Xenopus tropicalis: one gene and its partners. The main gene of each other region encodes a partner of the protein of the gene in region 4 in a complex. Links are inferred from orthologs where the notes say so. Each region holds a gene or a part of one and is shown on either strand. Other genes may lie near its edges.

Evidence for each region.
Region 1: the proteins of brd1 (region 4) and kat7 are in contact, whole or in part, in a crystal structure (PDB 5GK9), measured with the Homo sapiens proteins. The link is inferred for Xenopus tropicalis from reciprocal best matches to the Homo sapiens genes BRD1 and KAT7. Residues at the interface, in XP_047297239.1 of Homo sapiens: Val40, Ile42, Glu43, Ile44, His49, Arg50, Ile51, Ser52, Ile53, Phe54, Asp55, Pro56, Leu57, Glu58, Ile59, Ile60, Leu61; in NP_008998.1 of Homo sapiens: Leu531, Phe534, Gly536, Lys537, Glu538, Ile539, Ser540, Ile541, Lys542, Pro552, Val553, Val556, Gln560, Leu565, Tyr567, Lys571, His572, Leu573, Val574, Leu575, Lys576.
Region 2: brd1 (region 4) and kat6a share a complex: the UniProt entries of both Homo sapiens proteins name them as parts of the MOZ/MORF complex. The link is inferred for Xenopus tropicalis from reciprocal best matches to the Homo sapiens genes BRD1 and KAT6A.
Region 3: brd1 (region 4) and meaf6 share a complex: the UniProt entries of both Homo sapiens proteins name them as parts of the MOZ/MORF complex. The link is inferred for Xenopus tropicalis from reciprocal best matches to the Homo sapiens genes BRD1 and MEAF6.
Region 5: brd1 (region 4) and ing5 share a complex: the UniProt entries of both Homo sapiens proteins name them as parts of the MOZ/MORF complex. The link is inferred for Xenopus tropicalis from reciprocal best matches to the Homo sapiens genes BRD1 and ING5.

What each region holds. Positions count from the first base shown.
Region 1 is NC_030686.2:14,503,406-14,509,957, forward strand, and holds the start of kat7 (histone acetyltransferase KAT7), read left to right. Parts: upstream 1-2,561; 5' UTR 2,562-2,677; intron 2,678-6,552. UniProt on the Homo sapiens protein: Catalytic subunit of histone acetyltransferase HBO1 complexes, which specifically mediate acetylation of histone H3 at 'Lys-14' (H3K14ac), thereby regulating various processes, such as gene transcription, protein ubiquitination, immune regulation, stem cell pluripotent and self-renewal maintenance and embryonic development.
Region 2 is NC_030679.2:130,477,765-130,483,518, reverse strand, and holds part of kat6a (histone acetyltransferase KAT6A), read left to right. Parts: intron 1-940; coding exon 941-1,082; intron 1,083-1,570; coding exon 1,571-1,732; intron 1,733-3,415; coding exon 3,416-3,509; intron 3,510-3,836; coding exon 3,837-4,068; intron 4,069-4,206; coding exon 4,207-4,426; intron 4,427-5,045; coding exon 5,046-5,576; intron 5,577-5,754. UniProt on the Homo sapiens protein: Histone acetyltransferase that acetylates lysine residues in histone H3 and histone H4 (in vitro). Component of the MOZ/MORF complex which has a histone H3 acetyltransferase activity. May act as a transcriptional coactivator for RUNX1 and RUNX2.
Region 3 is NC_030678.2:86,131,644-86,137,397, reverse strand, and holds part of meaf6 (chromatin modification-related protein MEAF6), read left to right. Parts: intron 1-2,431; coding exon 2,432-2,547; intron 2,548-3,039; coding exon 3,040-3,127; intron 3,128-3,968; coding exon 3,969-4,014; intron 4,015-4,408; coding exon 4,409-4,601; intron 4,602-5,754.
Region 4 is NC_030679.2:72,521,136-72,526,889, forward strand, and holds part of brd1 (bromodomain-containing protein 1), read left to right. Parts: intron 1-773; coding exon 774-930; intron 931-1,311; coding exon 1,312-1,443; intron 1,444-3,012; coding exon 3,013-3,141; intron 3,142-4,170; coding exon 4,171-4,483; intron 4,484-5,540; coding exon 5,541-5,754. UniProt on the Homo sapiens protein: Scaffold subunit of various histone acetyltransferase (HAT) complexes, such as the MOZ/MORF and HBO1 complexes, that acts as a regulator of hematopoiesis.
Region 5 is NC_030681.2:125,709,224-125,714,977, reverse strand, and holds part of ing5 (inhibitor of growth protein 5), read left to right. Parts: intron 1-1,568; coding exon 1,569-1,735; intron 1,736-1,846; coding exon 1,847-1,958; intron 1,959-2,839; coding exon 2,840-2,927; intron 2,928-3,726; coding exon 3,727-3,862; intron 3,863-4,519; coding exon 4,520-4,581; intron 4,582-5,754. UniProt on the Homo sapiens protein: Component of the HBO1 complex, which specifically mediates acetylation of histone H3 at 'Lys-14' (H3K14ac) and, to a lower extent, acetylation of histone H4. Component of the MOZ/MORF complex which has a histone H3 acetyltransferase activity.

The DNA of each region.
Region 1 (6,552 bases), on a different chromosome or scaffold from region 4:
TGCTATGGATATTATGTTGCCATAGAGATGAATTTAAAAGCTGTCTTGGTAATAGTCACCAAGGAAACATTTGCCACAGCAATGCCTGCAATAAGAGCATGGAAACAGTTGCCATTGTGACCCAAAACATTGCTTTTAATGATCTGGGCCATAGTAGCAATCACAAGGACAACCATCGTAACAATTGCTATGGTAACAGGTGCCACTGATATAAGTGAGGAAAAGTATGTTAAAAGCTATTAGTGAAAGATTTCCTGCTGTGACAGCTACCATAGAAACAACAGTAACAGCTGCAAATTAGATGATGGTATGAGTTTCCATGGAAATATGATAAAAAAAAAGCTACAGAAATGATAGTAAATGTTGGCCAGGGGATATGATGTCACCAGTAAGTTTGGATCATTATTTATTAAATACAATGAGTTGGGCTTGGGTGGGTTATTCAAAGGCAGGGGCTGGTTTGGGTAACTGGGTTGTTTTTTTTAATCCAAATCACTACTGTAGGGCTAACCAATGAGCCACCTACCATGCAAGAGACCATGAAGCAGCTGCCAATGGTTGTGGTCACCAATGGCACCAGGTCTGGACTGAAATTTAAATTGGGCCCTGGCATTTCAGCCCAAACAACCCCCCATAGGCCCAATAATGGTGACTATGGCATCTTTCAGCAGACCCTCTGGCATTTGCCAGAATCTACAGATTGCCTTAATGGAAACACGGTAAAGGTTGCCACAGCACTGGTAACAATGGTCATTGTGACTACTTATGTAAGTTACTGTGGTCATCACTGTGATATCTGCAACAGCAACAAGCGCCAGTTGCTATTCACCTCCTTGTTTTGTCACTGCAATTTTTTATATGTGACCCTTTCTTAAGGGTTTGATGGTGCACTTGCCCATAAGGGTATGCCCCACAGACCTAGGGGAGGACGGTGTGGCCATTAGGTTCCGGTCTCTCGATACAAAAGACAAGACTTCGGACTTTGAAGAAACCTTGGGGGTAGCGTTGGCCGACCCCAGGGGAAAGGCACTCTCCCTAGCCATGAAGCGAAGAAGAGTTCGAAGACCCTTGCCCTTTGGAGCCTTTTGGTCAGGGATTAAGCCCCCCCCCCAGCAAAGGAGGACTCGAAGACTCGTTTTTTCACCTGAGCCTTTTGGCCTGTGGGAATCGAGTATGGTGGCCTTGTCCATTTTAGGACTGGCTAGTTTGCACCCTTTGTGCACATGTGATTTTGCACTTAGGAACAGAAAGCATTGACCTCGGGATAAAAAATAAAAAAAAAAACAGTTATAATGGGGACATGTTATGCAGCAATTGCCCAGGCACCATGGTACAACCACTCTAAAACTTGCAAAGAAGAAAGTGTGTTGGGTAAAACCACACCGTTACACTGGCGACAGTTGCCAAGGAGCTTTTTTCTGAGGCACTATGGTGCTTGTTGCCTTGAGCCAAGAGTACCTATTGCCTTGTAATATTTTACTAAGAAATACCAGAAGTTGTCATTATTTTTTATTATTAATAAGAAAGAAAACATGATTATTTCACTTTAAAGATAATATAGGCTTCTGCGAGTGAGCTTCCATATTGGCAGCCAATATGCTAGAGATTGTAGTTATTATCATCTCCAACGTGCTATCCCAGGGATAAACAACATTGTTCCCACAGGAATTCAGTTTGCCCTGCCCCTCTCTTGCTCTAAGTTATGACTGCAGGGTTCTGTGAATCAATGGCTGGAAAAGACACCAACTATACAATAATATTGCGATATAAGAACATATAGTTCCGGCAGATATATGCGCATGGATACACAAGGAGCCAGTTGACTGCCTTTTGGTATAACGGGCTGAGCAGATCCATGTTCTGCGCATGCGCGGGGCTATTCCCACGGAGAGACAATAGCGAGTGAGAGGTGAGGAGGAGGGGCTCCGGGTGCGTACGCGATGCACAGGGCGAGAAACCTGACTCAAGGGGAGGGGCCGCGCCTGCGCGTCATTCTGCCGTTACCCGGAGACGGCGCAAGAAAAAGCCCGTTCTGCGCCAACCGCGAATTCGGTTGTGCTGGGCGGGATCAAAGGGAGAAGGGGGGAGCGCCAAGCGATGCCCCGGAGGAAGGTGAGATGCATGGGATAGGAAAATGGAAGCTGCGTATGGGGGTGGGCGTGTGCCCCTGGTGTGGCGTGGGCCTCTTCTGGACACTGCACTGGAAGAATGCTGCGTGTAGGCACTGGCTATTGTGCAGAGCATACGGCGCTATTTTTGCTTTGCCTGCAGCAGCCTCCATGTGAGAGATACAGTCAAACCAAGGCCTGTTGTGGGTTAACTCGTGAGAGGCGGCGATTGGATACTTGCGTTCCATCTTATGTTGTGGTTGGCTGAAATGTGCTCTGTGCAGCTGTGGATTGGACGCAGTTTATGTCTGTCAGGACTGGCGCCTCATTGATTCTCATGCGCGCCAATTACTTGCTGGTCCCGCCTTCCTCTCGTTACTGATTGGTTGAGGTGGTTTAATAGCAGTCGCTATTGTAGTATGTTGTTCCTGTCGGTGCCGCTATAGTCCGTCGTTGGATTGGTTTGTGCGATCACTGCAAGGTTTTCTATAGGCTGCCGATAATTAAGGGCGTGGTATAAACAAAGGAAGTAAGGAAGCAGTGTTGGAAAGCATGGAAACCTAATTGAGGTACATTCAGTGTTTTGCTTCAGCTGTTTGTATAACATGGAGTGTTACAGGTGTATATTCCCGTACAAGTACATCTGAGTATAATTTATTTCACAGAGAAATCATTTTCATTTTTCTGTTGCTCTCCATTTTGGAAACGGGCAGCTATGTGGTTAGGTTCCCATTTGCCTTACGAACCAGGGACTTGAGGCATGGATAGAAAGATACGTAGAATACAACTTCTTGCTGGGGTTAATGACCATTTTAAAAAGAATAGGGTTTTATCAGCTAATAGTTAATGCAAGGGTGAACTATCGCTTTAATACATCTGCATGCCTCATATTCGCTGAGATACAGAATACTCTGAGATATATGGAGAATGCTTTTAGCAAGTGGCTGTGATAAAATACTGAAAATCCCTTGCATTGAGCATGTTTGAGCAATAGAATTCATGCCTCCGCAGGCACAGGGCTAATCCAATGTTTATAATTAATGGCATATCCCTACTGAAAAGGTAATTTCACACAGGTGACACCATTACCCTTAGTAACATAGTAACATAGTAAGTTGGGTTGAAAAAAAGACATACGTCCATCACATTCAACCATAATGCCTATATATAACCTGCCTAACTACTAGTTGATCCAGAGGAAGGCAAAAACCCCATCTGAAGCCTCTCTAATTTGCCGCAGAGGGGAAAAAATTCCTTCCTGACTCCAAGATGGCAATCGGACCAGTCCCTGGATCAACTTGTACTAACAGCTATCTCCCATAACCCTGTATTCCCTCACTTGTACTGAGAGCTATCTCCCCTACCCCTGTATTCCCTCACTTGTACTGAGAGCTATCCCCCTACCCCTGTATTCCCTCACTTGTACTGAGAGCTATCTCCCATACCCCTGTTTTCCCTCACTTGTACTGAGAGCTATCTCCCTTACCCCTGTATTCACTCACTTGTACTGAGAGCTATCTCCCCTACCCCTGTATTCCCTCACTTGTACTGAGAGCTATCTCCCCTACCCCTGTATTCCCTCACTTGTACTGAGAGCTATCTCCCTTACCCCTGTATTCACTCACTTGTACTGAGAGCTATCTCCCCTACCCCTGTTTTCCCTCACTTGTACTGAGAGCTATCTCCCTTACCCCTGTATTCCCTCACTTGTACTGAGAGCTATCTCCCCTACCCCTGTATTCCCTCACTTGTACCGAGAGCTATCTCCCCTACCCCTGTATTCCCTCACTTGTACTGAGAGCTATCTCCCCTACCCCTGTATTCCCTCACTTGTACTGAGAGCTATCTCCCCTACCCCTGTATTCCCTCACTTGTACTGAGAGCTATCTCCCTTACCCCTGTATTCACTCACTTGTACTGAGAGCTATCTCCCCTACCCCTGTATTCCCTCACTTGTACTGAGCGCTATCTCCCATAATCCTGTATTCCCTCACTTGTACTGAGCGCTATCTCCCATAATCCTGTATTCCCTCACTTGTACTGAGAGCTATCTCCCCTACCCCTGTATTCCCTCACTTGTACCGAGAGCTATCTCCCCTACCCCTGTATTCCCTCACTTGTACTGAGAGCTATCTCCCCTACCCCTGTATTCCCTCACTTGTACCGAGAGCTATCTCCCCTACCCCTGTATTCCCTCACTTGTACTGAGAGCTATCTCCCCTACCCCTGTATTCCCTCACTTGTACTGAGAGCTATCTCCCCTACCCCTGTATTCCCTCACTTGTACTGAGAGCTATCTCCCCTACCCCTGTATTCCCTCACTTGTACTGAGAGCTATCTCCCTTACCCCTGTATTCACTCACTTGTACTGAGAGCTATCTCCCCTACCCCTGTATTCCCTCACTTGTACTGAGAGCTATCCCCCCTACCCCTGTATTCCCTCACTTGTACTGAGAGCTATCCCCCCTACCCCTGTATTCCCTCACTTGTACTGAGAGCTATCTCCCCTACCCCTGTATTCCCTCACTTGTACTGAGAGCTATCTCCCATAATCCTGTATTCCCTCACTTGTACTGAGAGCTATCCCCCCTAACCCTGTATTCCCTCACTTGTACTGAGAGCTATCCCCCCTAACCCTGTATTCCCTCACTTGTACTGAGAGCTATCTCCCATAATCCTGTATTCCCTCACTTGTACTGAGAGCTATCCCCCCTAACCCTGTATTCCCTCACTTGTACTGAGAGCTATCCCCCCTACCCCTGTATTCCCTCACTTGTACTGAGAGCTATCCCCCCTAACCCTGTATTCCCTCACTTGTACTGAGAGCTATCTCCCCTACACCTGTATTCCCTCACTTGTACTGAGAGCTATCCCCCCTACCCCTGTATTCCCTCACTTGTACTGAGAGCTATCCCCCCTAACCCTGTATTCCCTCACTTGTACTGAGAGCTATCCCCCCTAACCCTGTATTCCCTCACTTGTACTGAGAGCTATCCCCCCTAACCCTGTATTCCCTCACTTGTACTGAGAGCTATCTCCCCTACACCTGTATTCCCTCACTTGTACTGAGAGCTATCTCCCCTACCCCTGTATTCCCTCACTTGTACTGAGAGCTATCCCCCCTAACCCTGTATTCCCTCACTTGTACTGAGAGCTATCTCCCCTACCCCTGTATTCCCTCACTTGTACTGAGAGCTATCTCCCCTACACCTGTATTCCCTCACTTGTACTGAGAGCTATCTCCCCTACACCTGTATTCCCTCACTTGTACTGAGAGCTATCCCCCCTACCCCTGTATTCCCTCACTTGTACTGAGAGCTATCTCCCATACCCCTGTATTCCCTCACTTGTACTGAGAGCTATCTCCCATAATCCTGTATTCCCTCACTTGTACTGAGAGCTATCCCCCCTAACCCTGTATTCCCTCACTTGTACTGAGAGCTATCCCCCCTAACCCTGTATTCCCTCACTTGTACTGAGAGCTATCTCCCCTACACCTGTATTCCCTCACTTGTACTGAGAGCTATCTCCCCTACCCCTGTATTCCCTCACTTGTACTGAGAGCTATCCCCCCTACCCCTGTATTCCCTCACTTGTACTGAGAGCTATCTCCCATACCCCTGTATTCCCTCACTTGTACTGAGAGCTATCTCCCCTACCCCTGTATTCCCTCATTTGTACTGAGAGCTATCTCCCCTACCCCTGTATTCCCTCACTTGTACTGAGAGCTATCCCCCATACCCCTGTATTCCCTCACTTGTACTGAGAGCTATCTCCCCTACCCCTGTATTCCCTCACTTGTACTGAGAGCTATCTCCCATACCCCTGTTTTCCCTCACTTGTACTGAGAGCTATCTCCCTTACCCCTGTATTCACTCACTTGTACTGAGAGCTATCTCCCCTACCCCTGTATTCCCTCACTTGTACTGAGAGCTATCTCCCCTACCCCTGTATTCCCTCACTTGTACTGAGAGCTATCTCCCTTACCCCTGTATTCACTCACTTGTACTGAGAGCTATCTCCCCTACCCCTGTATTCCCTCACTTGTACTGAGAGCTATCTCCCATAATCCTGTATTCCCTCACTTGTACTGAGAGCTATCTCCCCTACCCCTGTATTCCCTCACTTGTACTGAGAGCTATCTCCCATACCCCTGTATTCCCTCACTTGTACTGAGAGCTATCTCCCATAATCCTGTATTCCCTCACTTGTACTGAGAGCTATCTCCCCTACCCCTGTATTCCCTCACTTGTACTGAGAGCTATCTCCCATAATCCTGTATTCCCTCACTTGTACTGAGAGCTATCTCCCCTACCCCTGTATTCCCTCACTTGCTAAGAATCCATCCAGCCCCTTCTTAAAGCTATATAATGTATCAGCCAGCACGACTGATTCGGGGAGGGAATCCCACAACTTCACAGCTCTCACTGTAAAAAATCCTTTC
Region 2 (5,754 bases), about 58 Mb from region 4:
GTGGGTCTGTATGTGAGTGGATAGATAGGTCAGTGTGGGTCTGTATGTGAGTGGATAGATAGTATCGGTTATTGATTGCTTTATATGTTACTCTGTATGTCCAATGTATGTAACCCACTTATTGTACAGCGCTGCGGAATATGTTGGCGCTTTATAAATAAATGTTAATATAATCTAATAGGTCAGTATGGGTTTGTGTATGTGAGTGGATAGATAGGTCAGTGGATAGATAGGTCAGTGTGGGTCTGTATGTGAGTGGATAGGTCAGTATGGGTTTGTCTGTGCTGGGTTTATTTGGAAGGGTTGAAATTGATGGACTCTTGTCTTTTTTTAACCCTATGTAACTATGTAGAATGTGCCCTATATTTCTTCAGCCCAATAACAGCAGCAAGATTTCAAGTATAGGTCTGGTTATTGCTCATAAACATGTGATGCCTTGATACTAAAGGCCCTATAGCATTGGGGGCCAGATTGACATGTTTTATGAGTCCAGTCTGCAAGAAAATCTGGGATAAACACAGAACTATGTATCTGCCACCTGCTGCAGTATAGCCCAGGCCTGGCTCACCCATGCACGTCCGTCCTGCTGCAGTGACACAATCGATTCACTCATGAATAGCCTATCCTGCTTGCGTCTATCTGCAGAGTAACACTGGTCCAATATTTTTTCCTCTTACTGCAGTGTCATTGTGACCCCCCCCCCCCCCCCCCCCACCGTCATATTAACCTGGCAACAGAAATCCCATATACCTGTGTCTGTCTTTGGTTTTCCCATATACATCCATATAATATTCAGTGTAATTATTGCACAAAGAAGCTATTTATCTTCCATGTAATGTAGTCTGATATATGGCAGTGGTACATTGTGCAGGGATATGGTAGCCTATTGCTGTGTTGTAAGCAGCGAGTGAATCCAACCTTATGTTTCCATCCTCTGCAGGCTTCCCAAGCTGTACTTGTGTGAGTTCTGTCTCCGATACATGAAAAGCCGCACAATGCTTCAGCAGCACACGAAGAAATGCAATTGGTTCCACCCACCTGCCAATGAGATTTACCGCAAGGACAACCTTTCCGTCTTTGAGGTACGTAGGTCACAGTGACAGTAGCGGCGCCACAGGAGCGCACACGGCTGTACCAATGTGTTACACTCCTGAGTGCTATCTGTTTCCCTGGCCCTCTTCCCTGTTCTTTTGCCAGTGATGCACAAAGTTTTCATGTAAGCGTTTCCTTGTGCATCTTGTACTTCATTGTTCTTTCTAGGACTTCTCTGTCCCGAGTGTCTGTGTCGGCACCAGCTTTCTTTCTGCTTGTCTTTGCATTTTGTCCGAAGCTCTTGTGTTTGCTGCTTCAGTCCTTCCTTTGTTCCGGGCTTTAATCATCCGCTTCCAGTACCTCACTGCATTGTTCTCTGGGCTTTGTTTGCTTCCTTTTATTCATCCTCCGTTTGGTACTGTGTCACCTTTATGCCAAAGCCACAAATGGGCAGAAATAAGGTGCGGGGGGGGGGGGGGGGAGAAAGAGGTGAAACTGCTCAGTATTGGATTATATGTTCCTATTAACATTTCTTTAGGTGGATGGAAAGGTGAGCACCATCTACTGCCAAAACCTCTGCCTTCTGGCCAAGCTCTTCCTCGACCACAAGACCCTCTATTATGACGTGGAGCCCTTTCTCTTCTATGTGCTGACCCAGAATGACTCGAAAGGCTGCCATCTTGTTGGATATTTCTCCAAGGTGAGGGAAAGGGGCTGTTTGCTGTGCACCTGTGTTTTTCTCACTAAGGAAGAACGTCCCCTGATTCAGCTTCTTCCCAAAGTAGGTTACGCGTAGTTCCAGCTACCTTCAAAGCCAGATGGCAAGCAAATGGATGAATAATGAGGAGCCCTGATACGATAGTGCTGTGGCAGTGTTCTTAAAGGGACCCCCTCACTTTAATTTTTCAAATTTTTTTTTTTTTTTTTTTTATGTTAATAGTTGATTGTATTCATATATGTTTAAAGGGGTGGTTCACCTTCAGATTAACTTTTATTATGTTATAAAATGGACAGTTCTTATCAACTTTTCAACTGTTCTTTATTTTTTAGTTAAATTATTTGCCACCTTCTAACCATTTTCAGCTTTCAAATTCCCAATGGCCCATAACATATAGCAACAGAGATAACACCCTGTTAAAATCCATGGAAAATGGCATTGTTGCAAAAGCTCTAGATAAGAAAATCAGCCTTCCCAGCACTCTTATCTCTCTCATCTAGATAATCAGCAATGCCCGGGAGATGGCTGCTTCAATAGGCTCCTTCGATTCTGGTTGTTTGGTGACCCTAGCATTTAGTAGCAAAGGTTCCACGTGCCAGGTTTCTGCGCTGCTAAGGAATGCAGGGTGGCGTGTCAGTGCCAGCAGTCGGAGATGACCCTGCTCTAATTGTACGGCAGATTCCAAGTCTATAGAATGACATGCCAGAAGCTCTACATCAGAGGCTTCCACGGGGTTCTAATGACTTGGTGAATGCAGAAAGCTGTGTCCTAGAGAATATGAAAGGCTTTAGGGCTCTTTAGTCAGGCTTCAGAATTCTAAATAAGGCTGGTTCCCAGGAGTTCTCTCTTTGTGGCTATAGCAGCATGAAGCTCATCTTTCATCCTTATAATCAGCAGTGAGCTGCAAGCTTCAGAGGGTTCGTGCCAGTGCTGATGACACCGGCCTGTAATCACCCGTCTGAAATCCCAGCGTAAAAATGTCTCTCATCTCCCACCCAAAAGTGACATTTTGTGGACTAATAGGGAATTTTGTTGCAATGCCTACATTCTGCACCCCATACGCAGCTGTGTTGCATGCAAGCAGTGGTCCATTACAGATCCATACAAGTCCATTACAAACTCCATGGATATACACTTAATTACAAATGCAGATTATTGTGCTCATGGTAAGTCGTAATGCAAGCAAGGGCTGGCCAATAGGCAAATGCAAGGTTAAAGAGAAATTGTACAACTGTGATTGGCATAAAATCCTCAGACTGCGCCCTCTGGTGGCCAGACTTGCTTAAACGTGCAAGAATTAGGTCCATTTCTTAGAGGGCCACAGAGTGCTCTTCCTGTTTAAGGTTGCTAGGGCAACTACCTTGTTTAAAATCTTGGTTGCTGATGAAAAAAAATGGAAAAACTTGAAACCCACAGCACAATATGCAGATCAGTTGCAGAGTCTATTGTGATACATATATAAAGGTGAATATTGCCTTTAAGAATGAGCAGCTTCTGCTTCAGCACCCTACTATGAGAAACCCTCCTACCCCCCTCCTCCTATAAAATAAAGCCTTCCCCACTAACCCGTTTATCCGGTCCATAGAAGCCATGTATGTGATTCTTGTATAATACTGGGCCTGATCCACGCTCTGATGCATCTTTGTGTTTCCCTTCCATCCCCAGGAGAAGCACTGCCAGCAGAAGTACAACGTGTCCTGCATCATGATTCTTCCACAGTACCAGAGAAAAGGATACGGCCGCTTCCTTATAGACTTCAGTAAGTAAGGGGGGGGAGGGGACATACTTGTTAACACTATATGGGAGCTGTTTGCTTAGATGTATTCCACTGCTTTAGAAGCGCTTTATGCAAACGTTACTCTCCATATGTCCCCTTCATTGACATCCAGGACTGGTTTCATAGAGTGTCTAGAAGTGCAGACATTCTCTCCAAATATTACCTGGCTTTTAGGCTGGATCCCTATCCAAGGCACTGTGCCCCGCTGGGGGAGAGCCCAAGCTCCCTGCATTACTGAAGGCATCGGCTTCTTACTGATGTATGATCCAATGTATAGTAATGCACAACACCTTTGCTATTTCCTCCTAGGTTACCTACTTTCTAAACGAGAGGGGCAAGCAGGATCCCCAGAAAAGCCACTTTCCGATCTGGGTCGGCTCTCTTACATGGCGTACTGGAAAAGTGTGGTACTTGAGTGTTTACATCACAACCGAGAGCACCAGCTAAGCATCAAAAGGCTCACCAAGCTGACTGGTATCTGCCCCCAGGACATTGCGGCCACGTTGCACCAACTACGTATGCTGGAACTTCGTGGAGACCGGTGAGCTCCTGCTGCTGCTGTTATACTTATTTGGGGCTTCCTTGTTGCTTCTTTTTCTTTAAATTCACTGGGGAATGTAATCCCCCACCCCTTACCAATGCGTTATATGCTTATCTGTTTGTCCTCTTCTTCGTACAGCGTTGTGTTGGTTCGTCGGGAACAACAAATTCAGACACACATGAGTCGTTTGCAGGCCCGGCCGCGGGAAGTAGAGGTGGATCCAGAAGCTTTGAGATGGACACCTGTTATTGTCACCAACTCTGTGGTCTCGGATGAAGAGGAAGCGGAATCTGAAGAAGAAGAGGATGAGGAGGAGGAGGAGGATGAAGAACAAAGAAGTCCTCTGAAAGACAACAGTGTGAGTATGGCAGACTGTGTAACCATACTGCTAGCCTGCTCTTCTGTTCTTAGTCTTGTTCAGTCACTTACCTGCTATACATTGAATGATGTGATATGAACGAAATCACTGATTTAGGCTCTGAGCTGGGCCTTCCCTTGGTAGCCATAGTCTAGCTCGGGGATCCCCAAACTTTATACATGTGAGCCACATTTAAATGGAAAAAGTGTTTGGGAGCAACACAAGCATTAAAAATGTACCTGGGGGTGCCAATGAGCTATAATTGCCTACTTATTAGCCCCTGTGTGGACTAGCAGCCTACAGAAGGCTCTTTTTGACATTATATTTGGTTTTTATGCAACCAAAACTTACCAGAAGTTCAAAAATAAGTAGATGCTTTGAGGCCACGGGGAGCAACATCCAAGGGGTTGGGAAGCAACATGCTATTCATGAGCCACTGGTTGGGGATCACTGGTCTAGCTCATACTTATTTTAAATAAACATACTTACCTTACAGTTTAATGTTAATGGGGAGGGAAGTAAAGTTTTATGTGTACAAATCAGAAACCTGGTTGTGTGAAATGAATAATGATAAAGCTGGAAACATTGCGGTTAATTATCTCCCTCCCTCCCTCCTTAGCAACAGGTTTTGAGAAGCATCTCAAGAGAGTTTGAAAGAGAAACCTGTCCTGTTTTGGAAAAGGAGAAGAGCCCACCTACGCTCCGTCCTTCCTCCCCAAACTCTCGTTTTCCGAACCCACGCCAATTGCAGGATTTGCTTCGGGATAGCTTGCCTGCCAATAGTCAGCCTCCCGGAAGAGGCCGAAGAGGGAGACGTGGGCGGCGGGGTAGAGGCTTTGGGTCTTCCAGTCGTGCTGCGGACCTTTTAAGACTGCTTGCCAGGGAACCCCCAGGGCCCCCTAGGCGAAATGGGGAGAGGGGCCGCTCTGGATCACGAAGGGGCAGGCTGAAGAGACTGGCTGATCCCATGCTCCGTAGAGACTTCTTAGAGCAACAGGAAAGGCTGGCTCAGCGCTTCGAAAGCGAACATCCACAGCTAAGGCGCTTCAGTGAAAGCAGTGAAGAGGAAGATGAAGATGAAGAAGAGGAGAATCACAGCCTGCGCTCTGATTCCCCACCCATCCTAACCAAGCCCACTCTCAAACGCAAGGTGGGACTTATTATGAAACCAAGAATTATGGCTAGAGTATAAATGTTTCTAATGGAAATATATCATTCATAATTAGGACTTAGCTTTCTAATTAAGGAAGATAAAGTAGGGGGGTGTACCGTTTTTAGTGCATTCCCTATTTTTATGTAGTGTTAAATTGTGTTTTTTACTCTCATTA
Region 3 (5,754 bases), on a different chromosome or scaffold from region 4:
GTTGTATTTAACAAAAGTAAAAAAATAAATATAGCTAGTACTGATCATTATGCATACATGTGCTTACCAGCAGCCTGCCTTTGAGCAACCTCCCCTGGTTTTTCAATGGCCGATCCACTTAAAAAGTAATGAAAACATTGTAGAGATTAAAGTTCCTTCTCTTTCAGAAAATTTCAATATGATAGTAATGCTTGCGCCATTAAGTGTCCCCTAGCCCTGCGCATGCACATTATGCTATGTGGTGTGAGATAAAGACAATATAGAAGGGGAATGTGATGCACATGAATGTAAGATGATGGCTGCAAGCTCTTCTCTTGAGGGAAATAACTTGACAGCAGTGGCAATGGAGGAATAATAAGTATGTTTTGATTTGGCAGAACAGGAGAATGGCGAGTTTTGTTTCAATAGGTTTTGTTCTCCTTTAAGGTCTGTGACAGACAGGGAGTTTAGTCATCGGGCGACTAAACTCCCCAAACTGCCATCCCACTGGTGAGAATGTAAATTGCCGGTGGGATGGCATACGCGGCGATTTGCCGAAGTCGCGGAAGTTGCCTTGACTTCCTCGACTTTGGCAAATCACTGCGCCACATATGCTATCTCACCGGTGGGATGGCATTTCAGGGAGCATAGTTGCCCATAACAAGGGAGATTTGTCGCAGGCGACTAATCTCCCCATCTGTCTGAGCCCTAAGGGTGAAGACACATGGAGCTACTAGTAGCAGCTACTTGTTGTGGCTACTAAAATAGACAATGCTGGAATAACCATAATTGCTCTGCAATGAGACTATTAACCCTCAAAAGTGTGCCAGAACTAGGGACCAAAGCAGGACAAAAAGCAGTTGACTTTAGCTTTTATGATGTCTGTGATTACTCGGTTTATGGTTTACTACCCAACACAGTTTGACAAGTAGCAAACGAAACAGCAGCTCTGTAAGCAGATGTTCCTTGGATTATTCATCAGTTTTATGGTTTTCAGGCGCCTTCCCCTGGACTTGCACAGTCAAGTCACCCACTTGTAAACCAGCCTGGAGCATTTAAATTTTCATGTAACATTGAGCAGAACAGAGGGCATGATTGGAGCCACACAAGGTGATAACGTTTATGACTTGGATGTAAGAGGGTGCGGTCAAAACCAGAAAACCACTTGAGGAGATAATGTCTATGTAAATTGTCACACAATTTGCGTAACTGGTGTGCTTTTGGAGTACTTTTCAAACTATGTTGTTGGAAAGCAAGAATGTCAAACAAATTTCTAACCAATTAATTATGTACTTGGCTAAGCAAACTTTTTGATTTAAGGATCCGTAAAAGTGTTACCCCATCAATGGACAGCAGTCATATGTCCCAACAGCTATCCTGGATGGGTCTTAATGCAGTGTTTTATCTTGGTGACTTCACAACTTGCTTTTAACTGAATGTTTCCCCATCATATAAAAAAAAACTGTGATTATTCACATAATTACGAATACAACACTGTTTTTCATGCAATATTGTTTCCATGTGCCATGATCCAAATATAGTAACTTTCAGTAGCGTAACTACAGAGAAAGCAGACCCTGTTTTTCTCTATAGCCACTCTTGTCCCAGGAAAGTTTGTGTGCACACTGCTGATAGTTTGCAGTGGGTGCGCAAATGTTCCTGGGACAAGAGCACGCACTTGAGAGCAACTTTTGACAACAGCAATTGAAAACACTGCTTTTTACTTTGTTGGGGTGAGCTGAATTTGAAAAGCACCATTATCCATTTTGTTGGCAGCATGTTCTATGTGGAAATTACCAAGGTTTTAATGCAGTGGTAAAGGTGGCATTTGGATCCCTGCCCCATATGCCACAAGTCAACTGACTCTGCTTCTAAGTCTCACAAATGCATCAGCATGTAATTGTATACTATATGGTACCAATATTTACGAATCATATGTTAAAATCAACACACCACCCATGTAAAACTGTTATGTGCTACGCTTCTGTTCAGTAAATTAGAACTGTATGGATCCTTATTACCCAATTACTGAGTGGGTGGGCATTTTATGCTGATACATGTGGTTGCCATTGAAACTACTTGAGTATCTGAGGTGATACATTAGAAGCAATTACAGTGTAATATCGGTCCCTTTAGCCTACTTGAGAAAGTCTAACCCCGTATGCAATAAAAGATGTAGCAGTTACCCATAGCAACCAATAAGATTAGAAGTGTGCTTTTAAACAGGTGACCAGTAAATTCTACCTGCTAATTGGTTGCTATGGTTTACTTCTCTTGGGCAAACTTAGTGCACTTTATTACATAACCCCCTAAATCTTTGACTTCTGTCACAATATGAATCATGTAACAGACCTGCAAATGTTTTTTAATCTGTGTATATACCAACTGTCCTAATATTGTGTCCATAAATATTTAGCATTTTTAAAAAGTTGTGATTTGTCTCTCTCCATAGGAGACACTTGCAAATTTAGAACGGCAGATCTATGCTTTTGAAGGGAGTTACTTGGAAGACACACAGATGTATGGTAACATTATCAGAGGTTGGGACCGTTACCTAACAAATCAAAAGTAAGTTTGGATTAGTAAGCTTCTGTTTTTGTTTAACCCTATATGCCCTTTGCTTTAGAAATTTGATGAAAAGATTAATACAACTTAATCTGATTCACTTACTGTTTAACAGACTACAGTAGTCCCCCAACCACAACTACATTTACTGCTATAACTCACTTTATTAAAGATCTGGGATTTATGGTCAATGCTTTAATATGCTTTTTTTTCCAGTTAATGTGCATTACAATTTATGCTGCAATATGAAGCAAAATATGAACTCCTGACAGTATTTAGAAAAAGAATGCATTGAAGTGCACTGTAGTTTAGAATGTTATTTGTTCCTTCTGAAACTGGCAATACATGTAATTTCATAAAATTTTGTCTATGAATATGAACAGTATGGTTGCCAATAATCATACACTATGGATACCTATGAGAAAGGGCTTGCTGGAGAATAGTGCCAAATATATTTTTATATGTGAATCTAGTAAACAAAATTTTCTATTGCAGGAATTCAAACAGTAAGAATGATAGGAGGAACAGAAAGTTCAAAGAAGCAGAACGACTTTTTAGCAAATCTTCCGTAACATCAGCTGCTGTAAGTACAATTTAAGAAAGCTTTCATGGTTAGTAATGAATGAACATTAAAGAATAAGTAAACCTTTTATTTTATAATCCCTAAAATGACTAGCTAGCTCCGCTGTGGTATTCTGCATCTGTAGGTCAGCTTTACAGAGACACTTTTCATTGAAATAGACTCAAAGGGGAGGGAGCAAGGATGGGGCTCATTGGAAGGCAGTGGATGGGGGGCTTTTGTCTAGGGGAGGTTTAGTTCTTCTTTAATGAAAAGCACAGTTTTCATACCACAGTCTTACTGCCACCACTGCATGGGTTTACAATTTGGCGCATTTCATTAATTACTAACAGGCAGATGGACAATGGTATTTTGTTTACTGTTGTTTTCTTCTGGATGGCATCACTAGACTAAACACTCCGTGTGCCATAGCCCTTAGAATGGCCAACTTATAAGGCCTGATTATGACCATCTTTTCATTTGCATGGTAATCTTGTTTTGGTAATTACAGTTTCAGTCTATGTACAGATTTTTTTAGGGCATAGCCACATCGAAAAACATTTTGGATCTCTGGGTTCTTGTACAGGTCATTTATGTAGAACTGTGCTGTCCAACTTATAATAAAAAGTGGACCAATTAGGTGGTAACCAGTAAGTTTGTGGACCAGATTATAATTCAATTATGACATAAAAAATCTGTGGGGTGCATATGTACGCCAGTGCCTTAAATTAATTTGGAATGCCACATTCAGGTGTTGAATCTCCAGTTAGACGAGTCCTTCTGTTCAACTTGCTCATATTATATTCTAAGCTGCTATAGAAAGTGCCTTATTGCTCTATAACAAATATTTGTGTTTACACTTTAGGCTGTCAGTGCATTGGCAGGTGTTCAAGACCAGCTGATTGAGAAACGTGAGTGTAATGTTTATATGTTTTTTTGCTTTGTATTTGTCTTCAAGTGAGATGAGAGCATAATTTAATGTGTCATGCATCTTTTATTGCTGATTTACTTTCAGATACTGTCTTGCGCAGGATCTCCACTATTCTTTCTTTTTGCCAAAACCTTCCTTATACTTACATCATACTCCAACATGCTCTGAAATGTTAAAGTAATCTTTGAGCTGTTATTTATCAGTATCATAAGACTTTAAAAAGGGTTTGTATATCATTACATTTTATGTTGGCAATGGTAGGTAGCCCATCTGTACCATGTATGCATTAGCTGCAGTTATAGAATTGTGTGTTTTCATTTTCGTGGATTTTTTTGACTGCATCTTATGCGGTCTTGCTCTGTTTTTTTTTTTAGGGGAGCCAGGCAGCGGAACAGAGAGCGACAACTCTCCAGATTTTCAGAACCAAGAAAATGAGCCTAGCCAAGATGATACAGAGGATTTAGATGGTTCCCTGTCTGGTGTTAAACCTCAAAAAGCAGCTTCTTCAGCCAATTCTGGTGGCCATCACAGCAGTCACAAGAAACGCAAGAATAAAAATAGGCACAGGTTGGCTGAAAAATTGCTTAGAACTGTAATTTGCTAAAACTGTATTTAAGGACACTATTTTTATTTTTTAATAAAAATGATTTAGAAGTTTTACTGTTTCAGCATGTAAGCTTTACCTTAGGCCTATATGATGGCAGCAAATTTAGGAATAGTTTTGTTCTGTTCCCTATGGAAATAGGCTACTTGCCCCATAGAAAAGTGAAACGGCTACAAATAGCTACTGTTCATCTGGCATGAGGTATACGTTGGTGGCAGTTGTCTCAGACTTGCAGAACACAGTGGTTTTTTTATTTACTATAGTCCTTTTATTGTGTTATAATACCTCTTCAAAAGAATTACTATACCCAATGCGGGTATAGTCATCTGAAAACAGATGAAAAGGGAATTCTATTATTGAAAAAACCTTGTTTTTCAAGTGCAATGTGATACCATAAAACTGGCAACATTGGTATTTTCTCTGCATTAAGCACAATTAATCATGGAAAGTTTATGGTGGTTGCTCAGTTTATTTAGATTGTGTCCATTTAGGGCTCTGGCACACGGGAAGATTAGTCGCCCGCAACAAAACTCCCTGTTCGTGGACGACTAATCTCCCTGAGTTGCCATCACCAGCCATCCCACCGGCAAAAATGTAAGTCGCTTGGTGGGATGGCACACGCGGTGGCGCGATTTCGGCAAATCGTCGAAAGCCTCGCGAAAATGTAAGTCGCCGGTGGGATGGCACATGCTGCGCAGGCGATTTCGGCAAATTGCCTGCGCAGCATGTGCCATCCCACCGGTGACTTACATTTTCGCCGGTGGGATGGCAATCCGGGGAGATTAGTCGCCCGCGAACAGGGAGTTTTGTCGCGGCGACTAATCTCCCCGTGTGCCAGAGCCCTTAGAGAGAATTGATGATTAGAGAAACATATCTGTTCCATTCCAAATTAATTTGCATGGACATCTCTAGCATCCAATCATCTATGCTTATGCAAAATGCATCTGTTTTAGCTTCCCTACTTCAAGAGAAACCCTGGTCATCAATAGGGAAAGCCAGAGAAAGCTTTACATTGATAGAGAGGGTTACTAATTCTTGTCGAACAGGACACTCCTTTTTCATCATATAGACCTGCTTATCTGTTCAGTGTGCTGCCCTGTCCGCATTAAACGTACT
Region 4 (5,754 bases):
GCCCACGATAAATCCCTGCTACCACAGGCAATTAATCTCCCTAAAAAGCCCTTCCACCAGCAATAAGGGCTGTGACACATGGGTAGATTAGTCGGCGCGTAACAAATCTAAGTTGCAGCGACTAATCTCCCCGAAATGCTATCCCACCGGCGAGATTAGTTGCTGTGCGACAAAGCTCCCTTGTCACAGGCGATTAATCCCACCTGCTAGAATGTAAATCGCCAGTGGGATTCCATATGCCGAAATCGTTGAAGTTTCCTCTCAAGGCAAATCACGGCCCTGCGTATGCCATCCCACCGGCAATTTACATTCTAGCCGGTGGGATTGCATTTCGGGGAGATTAATCGCCTGCGACAAGGGAGATTTGTCGCACAGCAACTAATCTCCCCGTGTGTCACAGCCCTAAAGGGAATCGCCGGTGGACTGGTTGCTGACTGGTTACTATTAGCAACTGCAATTTAGCACCTATGTTTATAAACCAGCATTCGGCTATTTTGGCCAAAAATATTCTAAAATACTCTATTCCTGTTTGCATTCAATTATGGGACCCCATGTTAATCATTGTAAAATTAAGGCAAGAAATACTGTATTGCTTTTGACATTAACAAAACAGTTACACCCTTTAGCTTACCTTGGAAATGATCTATAATGAAAGTCCTTCTCCAGGACATTGTGATTTCAGTGGCAGTGTATGTCTAAAGAAAGGCCACAATAGTTATTTTACTGTAAATTCTACTAATATATGTAATTCTTTTTTTTTTTTTTATATATAGAGTAAATAAAATCATAAATCAAGTGTCTATTCCGAGGAAGAAGCAGTTCATTGAAAGAGTTCACAGTTACTGGATGTTAAAAAGGCTTTCAAGAAATGGCATTCCCTTGTTGAGGAGGCTCCAGTCAAGTTTACAGTCACAAAGGAATATACAAGAGGTATGGACCCCCAATACATGATAAAGTTTTGCAATATCTGTAACTGCAGTTAAATTTAACTTGGCAAAAAAAATTCAAGATAGGGCTCATTCAATACACTAGAAATTGTAGCCGGTGCTTTCAAACTTTTTATGTACCACTATTTAATTTCAGCATCCATATGCAATCTACAGCAGTTAAATACATACATGCAAACCCAAAGCTGACTTTACGTTTACTAAAATACATTTAATTAGATTTAGAGATAACACTGATTAGGTAGAACAATCAGCACATGCCAAACCCCCTTTTGTATTTCTTTCTGGCTGCTTTTCGTACACTAGATATTGTCTCAATCAGTAGGATACATTTTTTTTTTTTTTTTTTTAAATAACTTTTTAGAGTGAAGATGATGAGGAAGTGCAGGCCCTGAAGAAGAAATTGAAGTACTTGCAGCGTTTAAGACATGACCTTGAAAGGGCTCGATTGTTGATTGAACTTATCCGAAAACGTGAAAAACTAAAGCGTGAACAGGTATGTTGTTGCTTTTTTTTATCAGAATATTTTTGTTTTTCCTCTTGCCAGATAGCTACTTGGTGGGTGGCTCTGTGAGAAAATAAATTAAGTAACATTTAATATATACTTGATTTTTGTTTTGTCTTTTTTTATGGATAGATGTAACGATATAATATTGAAATCATAACGGACCTGCAAATGCAGATGTCAGACTGTTTATTGCAGGTGTAAGGGACTAGTACAGGTATAGGATCCTTTATCTGTAAACCCATTATCCAAAAAGCTCCAAATTCATTGAAGGCTTGCTCCCACAGAGTCCATTTTAGGCAAATAATTCTAATTTTTAAAAATTATTTACTTTTTCTGTGTAATAATAAAGCAGTAACATGTACTTGTATCTTTACAAAGCTACAAGAATCCACATTAATGGCAAAACATCTCTTTTGGGGTTACTTAATGCTTAAATGTTTCTAGTAGACTACCATATGTAAGAAAAGGCACAAAGTTTACCAAGGAGCAGTAACCCATAACAAAAATAAGATGTTTGCTTTTAAATAGGTGACCAGTAAATGCTACCTGCTGACATACCCCCCCCCCCCTTAAGTTATGGAAATTACAGAAATCTCCCTTTTTGGAAAACTTGGGTTCCGGGCATTCATATAAATGTACTATAAATGTAATATGATGCTTAATATGTATGTTGCTCAAAGGCTTCATAGACCTCTGTGCACAGTATTATTATTTTACTATATATCAACTTTTGGACATGTATGACAAGTGGCCCCTTACATGTAAAAGGTTTAACTGCTTACTCTTTCTCAAATTGTTTGTGCATCCTGTAATATATAAATCTTTTTTTTTTTTTTTTTTTTTTTTTTTTTTTGACGACGACGACTTTCAATCTTTAACAGTACAGGTATGGGATCCTTTATCCGGAATCCCAGAAAGTTCTGAATTGCGTACAGGCCATCTCCCATAGACTCCATTATAAGCAAATAATTCTAAATTTTAAAAATGATTTCCCTTTTCTCTGTAACAATAAAACAATACCTACTAAGGAATTATTAATCCTTACTGGGGGCAAAACAATCCTATTGGGTTTATTCAATATTTAAATGATTTTTAGCAGACTTAAGTTATGTAGATCCAAATTATGGAAAGATCTCTTATCTGGAAAACCCTAGGTCATAAACATTCTGGATAGCAGGTCCCATACCGGTACCATAATCCTCTCTCTCCTTTTCAGAAACCCCTTTATCTTGGTTGTGTGTGACAATCCCACCTGTTAGCTCATAACAACAAGATTAGAGATGCAAAACACTCAACCCAAATATCATCCTTATTGTCTTTTGAGGTTGGCCATCACGAAGACTATGCTGCATATGCCCATGGAAGTCTATCCTACAGTCTCCTTTTAACTACCACATATTCTAGATTGTAGATAGAGAGAAATCAAAAGGTGCTTGCACTTAAATTCCCTTATAGGTTACATTAAGCAAAGGAAATAGTAACATCACATAACTTGGACAGTGTTATTTATTTTGTTAATATTATATGAATAACTCTTATTTAAAATCTGTTCACTAGGTTAAAGTTGAGCAAGTTGCTATGGAACTTAAACTGACTCCACTCACTGTATTGCTACGATCCCTTCTTGAACAGCTACAGGAAAAGGATCCAGCTCGCATATTTGCTCATCCTGTTAACCTTACAGAGGTGAGTATTTTTAATTTGTTATGCGCAATTAAGGTGCTCATAAATAGTTTATTTGTGTTAATGGTAGGCTATCAAGTTTAACCCCATCTTAGGCAAAATGGCAGTAGACCATCAAGTTTAACCCCTCCAAATTATTCCCAGAGTTAAGATATAAAAACATTTAATTTGTAGATCTTGAGATTACTGTAGCCTGGATATAATGTCTGTCTAAAAAATATTCATAAATGGAATCTGCTTTACAATGTAGCCCTTAAGAGTGGTGATCCTCCACAATACCTTAAAAGCGATATTGGAAAGGACTGCTACGGTACCATTGGTCATAGATGTACGGGCCTTTTCCATTGTAGACTTCTTCAGCTGGCAGCCCAAACAGTTGTAACGCATGAAGTGAAGAGGAGCTGGTTCATACACCCACCGACGTGTTGACAGGTTAAATATTCCCAAACTGGACAGATAATCTAAGATCCCACCCATAACCTGACATACCTTCCCAAGCAGCTTGCCAGTATGGTCAAATGGTCAAAACCCCAGACCAAATCTAGCCATGTTTGCCTAGCTTTAAGTCTTGTTTCTTTAAATCAGGGATCCCCAACCTTTTATACCCGTGAGCCACATTTAAATGGAAAGTGTTGAGGAGCAACACAAGCATGAAAAAGGTTCCTGGGTGTGGCAATAAGAGATATATTGGCTACTTAATATCCTCTATGTGGACTGGCAGCCTGCAGAAGGCTCTGTTTGGTATTATACTAGGTTTTTATGCAACCAAAGCTTGCCTCCTTACCAGAAATTAAAAAATGAGCACTTGCTTTGAGACTTCTGGGAGCAACATCCAAGGGTTTGGTGAGCAACATGTTGCTCATGAACGGCTGGTTGGAGAACACTGCTTTAAAGAATAACTGACTCGTTTTTTTAAGGAAACGATTAAGCTATAGGCTTTGATTTTGCTGTTATGCCACCTTCACTGTAACCTATGTAGGGCATCAACCTCTCTTAACAAACTAAGTAAGGGTTTTTTTTCCTGATATACAGGTTCCAGATTATTTGGACCATATAAAGCATCCTATGGATTTTTCTACTATGAAAAAACGGTTAGAAGATCAGAGATACAGAAATCTGAATGAATTTGAGGAAGATTTCAACCTTATTATTGAGAACTGTATGAAATACAATGCAAAGGATACCATTTTCTATAGAGCTGCAGTACGGTTAAGAGACCATGGAGGTGTTTTATTGAGGCAAGCTAGAAGGGAGGCTAATGTCATTGGCTTCGATGAGGAAACAGGGATGCATTTACCAGAACAACCAAAAATTGAAGCCCCACCACAATTTTCATGGGAGGATGGTAAGTCATTTAATTACCTTCCACCTTGTATACGGTCTTTGTATGTGTACGTATATTTATAATGAAAAAAATACTGTGCTTATTGAGTTTTTATTCAGATTCATTGACTGTGCCAGTTCAATATAGAGCCACTGTTTCAGTTACTGCTATGTAACCAGCATTTCTCATTATAAAGATAATAGTGGTGACCAGAATTAAGGTTCACTTGTTGAGTCCCTAGGCAGTTAGTAATAAAGTCAGCAGCTCTATAACTAAGATGCTGTTGATTACTTTCAGCTCAGATACTGCCCCTTAAGGTTAATTTAATTTTGCACAAAACTGCTTTCAGACATGTTAATATGCCTGCTTCTGTATGCAGCAAATTCCACAAAACTTGTAAAAGTTACATTAAGGGCGAGGTCACACGAAGCATATATCTACTTCTCTCAGCCCTGCGTTTTTCTACCATGCTGAAAGAAGCTTATCCACTTCCCTACGCTCCTCTGTGTGCCTGCATTAACTCCCACAATTGCGAGCACGCAGAGTGGATCGGAGGGCGGCATGAAAAACACGAAAGTGGATGTTTTCCAGGCCAACCTCCGATCCACTGCGTGCCCACACTTGGGCAGTTGCTGTTGTCTTTAAGGCAGTAGCACAGGGAAACTGATCTGCTTCTCTTAGCCTGGCAGAAAAACGCAGGGCTGAGAGAAGCATATATACACTTCGTGTGACCTTGCCCTAAGCTTTGTAGTGTGTCTGAACAAATCGGACCAGTGGTCTCTGATTATCATCTAAGCATTGCATTGCATGCTTGATAAAGGGGTGTGGCTCTGAAACCTTGTGCTTCCATGTTAAAACTGAATTGGGTAGGGTTCTGATTCTGTCACTAAGCACCGGACCTCACTGTCCCCGGAAAAGCAAGGGTGTGCACGAGCTTCCTCTTCGGTGGATTACCAGCAGTAGTTTGTACAAAAAAAATGGATGTAACAAATGTGTATGTCTTTATTAATAAATCAGGTGTTTTTAACAATTTAAAAGAGCTGCCCCAAATACAATCTTCATCTGTATCTCTTATTAGTTGATAAGCTGCTTAATCCTAATAACCGAGCACACATGGCTTTAGAAGAACAGCTAAAAGAGCTACTGGAAAAATTAGATTTGACTTTTGCAATGAAATCAAGTGGATCCAGAAGTAAACGGCTGAAGTTGCTAAAAAGAGAGATTGCCAATGTTCGTCAGATGCTGTCTCAACAGCATGTACAGCCCCCACAAATAGAATCCGGCATTGGAAG
Region 5 (5,754 bases), on a different chromosome or scaffold from region 4:
TGAAACGCTGTAAAAAAAATTCCCACGGTCCAGCTGCTCCTCTGTCGGCACCTTCTGAATGTGAGTCCCACGACGCCGCCATCTTCTTTCTTCCCTACCGGCTTGCTGGAACGCCGCCCCTGCAATAAAAAAAAAACGCTCACCTTTCAACCAATCGGCGACGGGTCCAGCGTTGCCCTCTCTAGCTTCAGTGCGCGATGACGTCATCGCGCATGCTGGCGCTTAGCAACAAGCGCGCTGATGCTTCTAGGCTATTCCTAAGCCTGTTTGACTGCGGGAGGGAGGGAGAGAGACAGAGCAGCACACAATCAGGACGGTAGAATAAGATAAGTCAGAGGCAGTATACTCACAGGCAGTCAGCACTCGGCAGTCTCCAGTCTCGAGAGAAGACACCAAGATCACGGCAGGGTCACATGATTGACAACGCTTCTCAAAGTAAGGGAAAAGGAAAGGAGGAGGCTCTTTGTGAGACTGACGTCAGCCTTGCTCCTGCTTTGACTGACAGGCTTAACAGAGACAGTCGGGTTTGGCTCACAGTCGGGTCCTGGATCTTAAGAAGCGTTTATTAAGAAAACAAGCGCTTTCCATAGAAAATGGTCAACATGTGTAATAGGTCATTTTGGAGGTAGAATCATATAATCAAATGTTTTATTTTACTGCCAGTATCCCTTTAAGTAAGATCTGGAAAGTTAGGCACTGAGCTGGCACACTTCATTTGGTATATATTATTGTATTACAGAAAATGTAATATATTAGGGTAATTTTGAGTGTTGAATGCTGCCCTGTTTTCACTCATTGATGTGCCAGAAGAGCTAACATGCATCAGTGGAAGTTATATGTGGACTATAGTTTCTGTTGAGAAAATTTCTTGACTAGATCAGTCTTTGTGCATCTTTACACTTTATATTAACACCATCATTATCAGTGTTTGTGAGTGCTTATGGTTGTATTTACATAGGCCTTTCTGATAAAGCTTACTTAGTTTTTACCTTTCTTTCTCCTTTAAGGTCAAGGCACTTACTCTTTCTCTGCTGGCGTAGATATGCCAGCAAGGAAAGGGCAAGTCTCCTCCCTTTCACTTGGCCTTGTGTTCGCACTAACAGGCACAGAAACAGCCTGTCAGCATGCACATGAAGTGCCTACGCCACTGGGAAACCACTGTCATAAGCCAAACCACTCTGCTACATGTTACTCCACCAAAGTGATGCCTGATGTCCTTCTTGAGTTTTGCCAACTGCCGTTCCACTACATTTTCAGACAGATTTTGACCCAAGAAGGGACATTACATATTGTTTTGATATAAACACCTTATATTCTGACTGACAACACTTTATTTGCTAGCACTTGTTCATACTGCTCTGCCATTCTTTACAAGTACATTGCTGGCAATTCAGTAGTAGGCCAGACTGGGATTCACACCAAAAATGATGCAGGTGGGGTAGAACATTACTTTCACCAGACTCCTCTTATAGTATCTTTGTGTATTGAAACCATGTAATGGGCCAAAGGTTATTGGGAGGTTTAAGTTGCCTATTAACTATAGCTGTACCTTTTGCTTTTTTTAATAGATAAGAAGAAGGAGATTGATGCTTTAGCAAGCGAATATATTGCTAAGGTGCGGGACTACACCCCTGAGCAGAGAGTACAGCACCTTCAAAAAATTCAGTCTGCCTATAGCAAATGCAAAGAGTACAGTGATGATAAAGTGCAACTGGCCATGCAGACCTACGAAATGGTGAGCAGCAGTTTAATGAATCCATAAATAACAAATGCCATGCATGACTTTAATAATGTCATTTTTGTGTGTAGAAATTATTATTTTGAAATATATTTGTCTGTCTAATAGGTCGATAAACATATACGAAGGCTGGATGCTGATCTGGCCCGCTTTGAGGCTGATCTTAAAGAAAAACTGGAAGGGTCAGAGTTTGATAGTCCTGCAGGACGTGGAGTAAAGAGTGAGTTACAAAATGTTGTGTATAAAAAATCTCGCTAATCTTTTCCTTCAACATTTAAAAATCCCTGCAAGAAGACCCACTCTTGCTCATTCCTCCTTCTCCCTTTACATGGTGCACTATGAATAGAGGTCCACAGAAATACTCACAAGTGGGAGAATACTGTGGCTTCCTAGCATATTTATTTCTTACCAGTGACAGGCACATCCAATGAACCAAGTATATTGATCCAAGTATATTGTATTCTGTTTAATGCGCCCCATAACGACAATGCATGTCTAACCAAACCTTATAAATGTGTTATTTATATTGTACATCGCCACCACCCAATACGTTCCACTCCCTGTATCAGATGCTCTGCCTGCTTGCGTGTTTGGCTGGCAGCTGCCACTTCTATGTTCTTACTGAGCCGGAGTTAATAACACTGCGTGAGCGCAGCAGCACATGCCCCTGTGTGCAATTAACTTGTGTGCCAAACTTTACCTACATGTGAAAGGACTGTCTGAAGGTCAAAAGCTAAGGATTGCCTGAAATGTTACGCGCGTCACATCGGTTCTGTGCTGATCCCTTAATGGTGCAGCGGCGCGTCCCATAATGGTGCAACGCTATGGTGCGTATGATGCCTTGCGCGTGCGTCTGCAAGCCCGTCCACGGGGGGGGGGGGGGATTGCACGCAAGGAGCGCATTGCATCTGCGAATCCATAGGCAACTACCGTATATACTTGAGTATAAGCCGAGGGTTACTTTTTAAGCACATTTTTAGTGCTCAAAAACTCGGCTTATATTCGACTATATACGGTACTCTGGAAGATAAATAGCAGTACATCAAAATTGGAGAAACAAAATTATTCATCCTAAAAAAACATAACTTTTTTGTTTTAAAGAGAATAGAGGTCAAAAAGAAAAACGAGGGTCAAGAGGACGCAGAGTATCTGAAGAGGACACTGTAAAGAAAAAGAAAATGAAAGGAGGGTGAGGAATTGTATCAGTTTGTTACTGTTCTAGTAACAGCGTAGACTATGTGAGACCTCTTATAGTTTCCAGGTTGAATGCCACATACACAATTTTTTTTTGCACCCTTATCAAGCAGCTGTGGCTTTAAACAAAACATTTACATAGTAACTTCCACGTTAATTGTCCAAAATATTACATTTTTCAAAAAGGAATAGATTGTGTAATATCAATAGGGCCACCAAACTGTCCTGAATAAGGGCTAAAAAGTGGTATCTTCAACTGCTGCTCCCTTATTTTTTAATGTGACTGCAAGAGCTGTGGATTTAATGGGTGTTTAAATGCAAGGGTACAGCTGTGTAAGTGTGTGAGTTAGGCTGCTGACCACTTTAAAGGTGAAGTACATTTAACATTTTTATGTTTTAGAATTTCCCATCCATAGCAATTGTTCAATTGCTGCTCATTTTTATATATTTTTTAAGTTTGCCTTCCCCTTGTGTGTCCAGCTCTCAAAAGGGGGTCACTGACCCCAGCAGTCAACTATTGCCCTTTGAGGCTGCAATTATAATGTTACATTTAGGCCTTCTCCTTTTCATGTTTCAGTCTCTCATTCCAGCCATTGCCTGGTTGTTACTGTAAATAGATTGGACCTTGGTAGCCAAATATCTGCTGACAAAAAGCTAAATAATTCAGAAACCATGCAAAAAATGAAGAATAAATTGTCTCAGAATACATTTATAGTTTTTTTAATCTGAAGCTGTTTAATGGGTAATTTACATGACCTAACTCGCTGGCTTGCTGATATATTTGTATTTGCCAGGCCTGTATATGCTGATTCAGTCCTGTCTGTGACCCCTTCGGATGTCTTGGATATGCCAGTGGATCCCAATGAACCCACATACTGCCTTTGCCACCAGGTGTCCTATGGGGAAATGATTGGTTGTGACAATCCAGATGTAAGTAATAAGTTCAGAATATTGTATGGATACATCAGTGTCCTTGCCTGGAAGTGTGTACTGTATGATTGGATTTAGAGAATAATTCAAATCCAAAATGCAATATTTTGTCTATATTCTTAAAAATTAGCAATAGATTGTTCAGCAGTTTCAGCTGATCTGCCTTGCTACAATCTGAGGATTTATTCTGTAGTGTCTTCACTTTTGCAATAGGATAACATTCTCAGAAATAAATTTCTACACTTATTCAAGAAAAGTGCAAGTGGAAATACAGGTTACATCAATGTTTTAGCCTCAGGTTTAAAACTATACCAGCATAACTACTAGAAACTAAGGTAAATTAATGTTTCAACTGGTTGGAATGGAAAAAGTAAACCTTTCAGAATAGGTTTCTGCTTTGTTTAATAAAGACCTAAGGGCATGAGAGTTGCTACAGCTTACTGATTTTATTGCACATTGTATTCTTTTCTCCTTTATTTTTGCGGTTTCTTAAGACAGTCTAATGATTATGTAAAGTGAATGTGTTATAGCCAAAGCTTATATTGCATGTAAAAGCAAGGCGGTTAGAAGTACAGTTCTATTATCTAGGAAATAGGGTGTATGTTTTTTTCCAAGGCACCTAAATGTGTAATTACTTCCTAAATTATTTGCCCACAGTGTCCAATTGAATGGTTCCATTTTGCCTGTGTGGATCTGACCACTAAACCTAAAGGGAAATGGTAAGTATCTATTGTATCAACTGAATTTTTGTTAAAAATAGGAATGCACTGAATCCAGAATTTTTGGATTCTGATGAATGCTAAATCCTCTGCAAAAGTGGAGGAATCTGAACTATAATTTGCATATTTTAATGGAGAAAAATAGAAAATGACACCTGTGAACAAAGTTTGTAGCCATCAATTACCAAGAGTTTTAATGTCATATTAGAATGATGATAAGGGTTTCAGTTTTGTTCTGCTGAAGCTCTGAATCCTTAACTGAATCCTGAATTTAGTTCATTCCTTTCATTTCATTTTAATTTTCTTGATGCAAGGACAAATTTTATTTAAAAAAAATAAAAAAAAACATAGGAATTGCTCCCCAGTGCACCAAACATTTTTCATCTATTGATGCCACCGACTGATACAGCCCACTGTCTTGGGGACTGAAGCAATTCTCACACTGAGAGTGGTGCAGCCAGGCAGAACATTTCCTGGAGCCACTGTCTGCTGCTATTTCCAAATGCATGCAGTCATTTTAGCAAATTAAAGGTGTCCACTGAACTATGCAGCCATATCTGGTATAGGATGCAATATATGGACCAAAATTGAACTGTGTATACAAGTTCTAACTGATACTAGAAGTATAGAGCTTGTATGGCTGTGCTCAGTGGAGCAGCCTATCCACATGTGGCCTCAAAAGAATTTTGGCCTGTAATTTTAGTTTCTCTAACAGGTGTCTGTGGGACACAGGGACCATGGGGTATAGAAGGTACCAGCAGGAGGCAGGACACTAGAAGAGGAAGAAGAGAACTAACCCCTCCTCCCTGCTGCTATACCCCCCAGTACTTCCTGCCTTCACCAGTTTTTTTCTAGTGTCCCACAAGGAGACAGGATCATCACATCACTCTTCAAGTATTTCTTCGGCCAGACTCATCTGGCAACAGGGGTTGTCCTAGAGATCTCCAACAGGAGACACTCTTTTCAGGCTTCCCCCTACGTGGGAAAAGTAACGGACGCTGGGGCACGTAAGTTTTTACAAAAAACTAGCCCTGCAGATACCCTGCCTCTGAACACAGAGTGCAGAAGCTGCCCAGCGCTTCCCAGTGCCATGGCCTGGCTTAAAACTGCCTCTAACTCAGTAGCCCTGCTCCCTGCAGGCTACCCAGCCCGACCAACCCCCCCTCCCCCCTT